Linked DNA regions of Daphnia pulex. The protein of the gene in region 2 purifies or fractionates together with the protein of the main gene of each other region. This does not show direct contact. Links are inferred from orthologs where the notes say so. Each region holds a gene or a part of one and is shown on either strand. Other genes may lie near its edges.

Region 1 (4,065 bases), on a different chromosome or scaffold from region 2:
AAAAGCGCGTTTGTAATTGTTCTAAAATCTTGACTCTTGACTTTTGATTTTTTTTTTTCATAAAAAGATTAGAATTTTGAATTGGGAATTATAATAGCTATGCCACCTAAAAAAGCAGCAGCTGCTGGTACATATAGTTTGATTAGTTTCCTTGTGAAATAGTTGTGTTTTTTAAATATTTGTTTACACCTAAAAGGATATGTCAGAATTCAGAAGTTTCTACTACTGTGAAAATAAGCGTTTATAAAGTTTCATTGACTATTTAGGAAAGTCGAAAGGTGCTGGAGGAGGAGGAGGAGATGATGACAAGGGTAAAGACAAAAAAGGAGGAACTGGGAGTACGATTAAGGTAAAATAAGATATATTTCAATAAAATAAGATTATGTTTTTAAATATTATTCTTGCATAGGTTAGACACATTTTGTGTGAAAAGCAATCAAAAATTCTAGAAGCACTTGAAAAGCTTAAAGCTGGTATGAAATTCAATGAAGTTGCTGCAACATACAGTGAGGATAAAGCAAGATCAGGAGTAAGTGTTAATCAATGTGTTAATCAAGTATTATGCTAATTGCTTATTACATTTTTTATTGTATATTAAAATAGGGGGACCTTGGATGGATGGTTAGAGGATCTATGGTTGGCCCTTTTCAAGAAGCTGCCTTTGCTCTACCAATTTCATCATTGGGTAATCCTGTCTACACAGATCCACCTGTTAAAACTAAATTTGGGTACCACATTATAATGGTAGAAGGGAAAAAATAAAAAAAATAAAAACAACATATTGTTACATGAATTAAAATTGCATTTTTCATGGTTTCTTCTAAATTCACTTTTACTATAAGTCAAAAAGCTAATTGAATTTCTTTTATGAATTAAACATTCATAAACATCCAAGATTATCCAAATTGGATCATCCAATGCAGGGTTAAATGTGATAGGCCTACATATCAGATGTAGATCATTCTGACTGGCATCTATATTGATTATACAAATTGTGAACAAATTTAAATAACAAATATGTTGAAATCTTTGGAAAATAGCAAAATATTCTTTCGAATTACATGAACAACATATGCTGGTGGTTGATTTTGCTCTAAATCTAAAATCTTTCACTTTCAAGTTATACAATAAACAAATTAGGAATTTATTTTCTAATGTTAGCCGAGCTCTGGATTAAAAGGAATGAGTTAATTTTCGAAACATTTTCCAAGAAAATTTGGGATTTGGCACAAAATGTGTTCACGTTATCTGATGGATGCTGTTTAACAAGAACTACTACTTGAGTCATATTTGTCGTCTGTTGTCCCTTAATTACTCCGAGACTACAACAGTGGCAGGAATATTTTCTTCCATCATTTGAAGATCCAAGGAAAAGTTAGATCATTTTTCAGGAATGTGGAAGGCACCAGTTAGAATTTGTTCTCAGTCGAAGGTATCATTGCAAAACGGAAGACAAATTATCCGCCGGAACATAAACAGCCGAAAATCAAATCAAATGTAACCGGTGTATTTTTTTCGTAAGTTGTTTTTATACCAGATGCTGTAATAATTTCATTTGTAGATCTGGAAGCAAAATTTTAACCATTGGTGGAGCTGCTATTCTAGCAACTGTTGGTGGTTCTGTTGTCTTAGCCAAAACAAGTGATGGTTTTAGGAAATTTTCTGAAAAAAATATTCCTGGAACCTCATTTCTGTTCAATTTACTACTGGGACCTTCAGTTTCCCATTTACCAAAACTTGAGCATCCTGTCAAGTATAATCAGTTTTGTTTCTAGACTTTTATTGATTATTTATTTAAACTTATTTGCTTCAGAGTAAAGGAAGATGGACTTTTAAAGAAAAAATTGGAACGAGAAGCACTCAAGAAAAAAGATGGTAGATAAACATTTGAATTATTTTCTTGTACATTTGGAGCAATTTTTTTCTCTCCTAGATGAGCTGCCCATCAATCCTGTGGAAGAATCAAGCCCACAAGAGCTACCCATATCCTCAATCGATTTACCACCCCCAGACTTCGATGTCATAAAATCTGTGGAAGAATTTTGTGACAATGATCAATCAAGTGTTGAAGAATCTTTAAATTTAGACCCAGAAGTAAACTGTTTTTTATTTTATTTGCTTATACCTTATGTTTGACTTCCAAATTGCATTCAGGTAAAAACAGATGAAAATATTAAAGTAGTAAATGAATCTGAACCTGATAGTTCAGCTGTAGAGGTGAGAAACTTTCAGATTTGTACATCAAAACTTCAAAAAACAAAAATCTTTAGTTATTTTTCCTATAATTTAGGTTCTCGAAAAAGTTGCAGTTAATTTATCAGAATTAACTCCCGCCGAATTTGGGGACTTGCTTAAGGAATTTCATGCCAAAGCTTCTGACGCTGTTAAAGAAGCTGTTGCAGCCCAAGATATGGCTGCATGCTCCATCAAAAGTAACCGTCTCCTAAATAATCAGACTAACAATTATTTTATATTATTTTATCTTTTGTAGAGCATGTTGAATTGGTCTTCAAGTCACTAGAAAAGATTTACGAGCCTGGTCAAACACATGAAAATATTTGGGAGCCGGTCTTCATGGCGACACACGATAAAAATGAAGCTGTGCATGTTGCCGAGTCTCGAGCTCATGATGCCAGAATGGCCGTAGCTCAGCTGAAAGAAGCTGTAGCTCATGGCTTAAAGAATGACCAAAGTATACAAACACCTGACCTAATTACTTTTGACGAAAGCGTTGCCCGTGCTCTCTATAGGTACGTATTTGTGAATGTTGCTTCAAAACCTCCAGTGGCTATAATGTTTGGTATTTAGTTTGGAAACTGCAAAAGCACGAGTTGAAGCGGCTCAGTCTGAAGCCAAAGTTATGGATGAATATCGTGAACTTGTTGATACTGCTAGGCACAACTTGCAGGTAACAAATTGAATATTTATCAAAAATTTATAACTTCAACGTCTTTGGTTTGCATTATTCAAGATGGAGTTATCTTCCATTCGTCCTGAATTGGCACCCAGTTTTAAAACCGAAGGTTCCAAGTTGGGTGAAGAGGAAATCAATATTTTGATGGCCCATGCCTATTGGAAGATAATAACGTTGCAAAAAGAACTAGCCAGGCAACAGGTTAGTTTAAATGTTTTTTTTTTTTTGTTTTTTGTTTTTTTACAAAAATTTACAGCAATTAAAATTTGTATATCTAGTCTTGTGAGCAGCAGCGCCTGAAAGGAGCTTTAGATACCCAGAGAAAAGAAGACCATTCGGTTCTGGAATCCCGTTTACGAGTCGAATTGGAAAGACAATACTACGAACTAAAAGCGAAATATAATCAAGATGTGAGTTATACCGCCCATTATTGTTTAAACAAATCATTCCATTAATGTGTGTGTCGATTTCTTTAACAGATTTCGTTTCATGAAAAAACCTTGTCGGATCAGTTTACTCAGCAGCTTAAACTCCAAGCTGCTGCTTATACTGATCACTTAAATGACACTCTAAAGACGCAACGTCTAGAACTAAAGCGAACATTTGATGCTGAACGTGAACTAGAAGTCGCAAAGTTGTTGGCGTCCCATCATGAAAACCTGGCGAAGCTTCACGGAATGGGCAAAGGAATTCAAGACGCGATCCATGACCGCGCCGAAAAGGACCGAGTTTCTCGTCAAGTTCGTGAGCTATGGATTGCAGCTCAATCGATGATCGAGTCCCTGCGCAGTAACAATTCAGTCCATTTGCCATGGAATGAGCAACGCCACCCTCTCAATCTGAGTAGTTTGAACAAAGCACTAAACAACAATGATGAATTTGCTCTGGCAGTCATCGAATCCATCCCACCAACCGCTCTAGATCAAGGAATCCTTCCCCAAGGTGCTCTGAAGGTAACGCCCTGAAATATTTTCTTGTTGAAGTATTTTTTACGTTTAAATTTTACTCTTTTTTTTTCAGGAACGTTTCTTGAATGTTGAAAGAGTTTGTCGACGTGTAGCTCTGATTGATGAGAATGGTGGATCGATCCTTCGTTATGCGCTCTCTTATTTGCAGGTTGATTTTTGTTTTTTTGTTTTTTCCTTTCATAC
Region 2 (3,234 bases):
AACAACTTCTGAGTCATTCATAAAGATTCCGGATCGAGATAATTTCTTCAATGAGCTGGTTTGTATTTTGAAAGTCGAGAATTTCTTGAATAAACTAAAACAAATGTTTGGTAGTCGATTTCTACTGTGTTATATAATTTTCATCTGGCGTTTCTTGTTGACGTGTGACAACGTGGCGCTGTCTGCATTTGTTATGAGAAGTCGCTCAGCGCCATCTTGCGTTGGGAGCCTTGCCTACATGGTTGGAAAATAATTTGGTGACATTGTCAGTCAATTCAATTGAGAGAGTTGGCCGAGTCCCGTTGCGTTTTTTATTGCTCGAAAGCGCATTACGTGCATAATAAATGCAGTCGGATGAAAAATATTTTCCCGAATGATAAATATTGAAATGTCAAAAGTCTACGACTCTTCTCCGAAAAAGGTTTGGTCTGTCTGGGCTACGATGGGACGGCGATGACAAGGTCTGTTGACACAAGGACGTCAGATAGCACCAAACAACGCGATTCCTTGAATTTCTAATACAACAAACAAATGAAAAAGTCTCGAAATGGACCCTCAACGAAGATCTTCGTCATTGTCTCGTGGAAAAAGTCGGCAGAGCTCCCGGAAAACGTTTCGCATATCATTAATAATAAATCCCCGAATAGTTTGCCTTATTCGAAGGCTAAATATAGCTTGAAATTTCACTACAAAAAAGCGGTCAATGAAAAACTTGTGAATAACTTGATGTTGCGACCACTTTCGGCATCCTGGAAACAAGATACTGAATTGTTACGGTTTTTTTTAGCATCAATTGGTATCAATTACCATCACGAGAAAATAACGCGCACTTCGACAAATAATAGAACTTGGGTCAGAAATCAAGTTTTTTAAAGGTAAAAATCAGGAGCAGTAAATTAAAAACAGATTTCAAAACACACAAAAACAGGTCGGTCCTAGAGGGAAATTTACGCTTGCAAAAAGGGAACTGATTATTATGTGGAGCACGACGACGTGTTCTAGCGACATTCGCATTTCGCGGTACGATGTGGCAAGTACATTTCGTAGAAATGCATTTAGAAGGGCGTTGAAAAGCAGAAAGTTACGTTACAGGTGAACATTTAACTATATTTAATATAAAAAACAAATTGGTAGAAATATTTATTAATTAATACATTCTCTATCAACCTGTATTTTCACAGCAAAACATTTTGAATTTTGAATACGTTTGATTACAAATATAATTATGATTTATGATGCAATAATTATTTCAATGACAAATTTTTACTACAATTCTTAAATATCTAGTTACTAGTTGGTCAGTAAATTAAGCTTATTAGAAAAATCCAATTTTGAAATTTATTTTGGGTTCATCATTTTTGCGTAATTTGGCAACTCTGAATAAAAACCGCAGCAGCCGATCTAAAAATAATTCCGTATTGATGTTGTGATTTTCTTATTTTAGCCGATAAAAGTTTAATTCATTACGATAATGCCATCAGTTTTACTAACAGACTCTATTTCATTAGAGCTTGGAGGTAATCATTTTGGATATTTTATATTTTCACATTTATTTCTCACTTTTAAAAAAACCTAATAGCTTTGGAACCTTGGCCTTCTGACGTCAAACTTTATCAGCCCTATGAAGTTGAACAAATTCTATTGCAAGATCAAGCCAATTCTTTGGCTGTCCAAGTTTTTCTGCGAATGTGTGGTTTAGAATTTCAGGTAAATTGGAAAACTAAAACTAAGGAAATCTTAAGTTATTGATTTATTTCTTTTCTTAGGTGGAAATGAGAAGCAATGCTGAGCATATGTCACCATCCGGAAAATTGCCTTTCATAAAATGTGGTGCCTTTGTAGTAGCTGATCTTGACCCTGTTGTCAGTTTTGTGAGCAACAAGGTATTTTCAATATTTTCTCTACAATCCCATTTTATGACGTGTTTTTTTTTGTAGGGTATAAATCTTACAGATCACTTGGATGCTGCTCAAAAAGCAGACATGAGAGCTTACATGTCTTTAGCAAACAATATATTGGGAAATGCAGAGGTATTATATTATTATATTTGTAACTACTTTTGTGTGTTATGTGATTGATGAGCAGTGTTTGTTCCTACTTAGTTATATATCAGCTGGTGTGATGAAACTGTTTTGAATGAAGTAACTGGTCCTCGTTATGGCTCTGTCTATTCTTGGCCTTTGAACACTCTGCTAACCTGGAGAAAACAGAAACAAGTAACTAAGAAATTAACTGCTCTTGGCTGGATTACCAAAACACTTGATGAGGTGATTTGTTTGGTCTAATAGTTTTTGCATTAGAAAATTATTTATTATTTTCCTGCAGGTATATGAAGATGTTGATCATTGCTGTAATGCGCTAAGTGAGCGATTAGGAAACCACCTTTATTTCTTTAATGATAGGTATTAAATTTTTTAAAATGGGTTTCTAATAAAATAAGTGCTGACTTTGTTCCTCGTCATTAGATGCACGGAATTAGATGCGGTTGTCTTTGGCCATGTGTTTACTTTGCTGACCACACCGTTGCCCGACAATAGATTAGCATCCATTGTGCGATCCTACCCGAATCTGGTCGAGGCTTGCCAGTTCCTTGAGAAGACTTACTTCCAGAAACCAACCGCCAAGACAACGGACGATGACAGCGATAATTTTGACTAAGTTCAAATAGTATAGGAAAAGTTGTAAAGTTTATAATAGCCCCATACTTCTGAGATTTACACGCTATTATATTTCATTGATATGATATCCTTTAGAGTAAGCACACACGCGGTTATTAAATACAAGAGTAGAAAATTCAAAAAAATATAGTAAAGGGTTTGAAAAATGAACACTAGGTGGTTTGACTATGCTAGGGGAGGAGTGACACGTTTCAACGTTTTGCCGCTAGGGCAGAGGTTGGGAAATGAGCTGCTTACAGTCAGTTTGGGAACCGGGTTCGGAGCAGAAAATGGCGTCTAGCTTCCTGGACGATTTAATCTCGAACCCGTCAGCGGATGCCGACGCTGTCTCCGCGTTAGTTGGATCACTTGAGAGCCAGTTGAGTAATGCAAATGTTGGTGCTAGTAATAACACACAAGGCGGCGGCTTGGCTTTTACGACAAGCTCTACCTCGTCGGTTCCTCCACCGCTGCAGCCTGCCAATACCCCGTCCGCTGCCACCACAACGGCAACATTCGCGGGAAACGGCAGTAGCCTGCACGCAACAACAACTTGCGCGCCAGCAGCATCAGTTCC

Evidence for each region.
Region 1: the proteins of metaxin-2-like (region 2) and MICOS complex subunit MIC60-like purify together in Homo sapiens (co-immunoprecipitation; 5 studies listed by BioGRID and IntAct, counting the BioPlex papers as one, with this or other methods). This does not show direct contact. The link is inferred for Daphnia pulex from reciprocal best matches to the Homo sapiens genes MTX2 and IMMT.

What each region holds. Positions count from the first base shown.
Region 1 is NC_060018.1:5,994,787-5,998,851, forward strand, and holds the start of MICOS complex subunit MIC60-like, read left to right. Parts: upstream 1-1,265; 5' UTR 1,266-1,393; coding exon 1,394-1,497; intron 1,498-1,561; coding exon 1,562-1,753; intron 1,754-1,813; coding exon 1,814-1,875; intron 1,876-1,933; coding exon 1,934-2,094; intron 2,095-2,154; coding exon 2,155-2,217; intron 2,218-2,290; coding exon 2,291-2,432; intron 2,433-2,491; coding exon 2,492-2,750; intron 2,751-2,808; coding exon 2,809-2,908; intron 2,909-2,971; coding exon 2,972-3,115; intron 3,116-3,192; coding exon 3,193-3,324; intron 3,325-3,393; coding exon 3,394-3,867; intron 3,868-3,934; coding exon 3,935-4,030; intron 4,031-4,065. Other genes in the region: peptidyl-prolyl cis-trans isomerase NIMA-interacting 4-like, read left to right, coding at 100-127, 267-349, 410-529, 604-762. UniProt on the Homo sapiens protein: Component of the MICOS complex, a large protein complex of the mitochondrial inner membrane that plays crucial roles in the maintenance of crista junctions, inner membrane architecture, and formation of contact sites to the outer membrane.
Region 2 is NC_060026.1:12,796,497-12,799,730, reverse strand, and holds metaxin-2-like, read left to right. Parts: upstream 1-1,357; 5' UTR 1,358-1,471; coding exon 1,472-1,517; intron 1,518-1,579; coding exon 1,580-1,707; intron 1,708-1,766; coding exon 1,767-1,883; intron 1,884-1,937; coding exon 1,938-2,030; intron 2,031-2,102; coding exon 2,103-2,267; intron 2,268-2,325; coding exon 2,326-2,402; intron 2,403-2,465; coding exon 2,466-2,658; 3' UTR 2,659-2,734; downstream 2,735-3,234. Other genes in the region: transcription initiation factor TFIID subunit 4-like, read left to right, coding at 2,903-3,234. UniProt on the Homo sapiens protein: Involved in transport of proteins into the mitochondrion.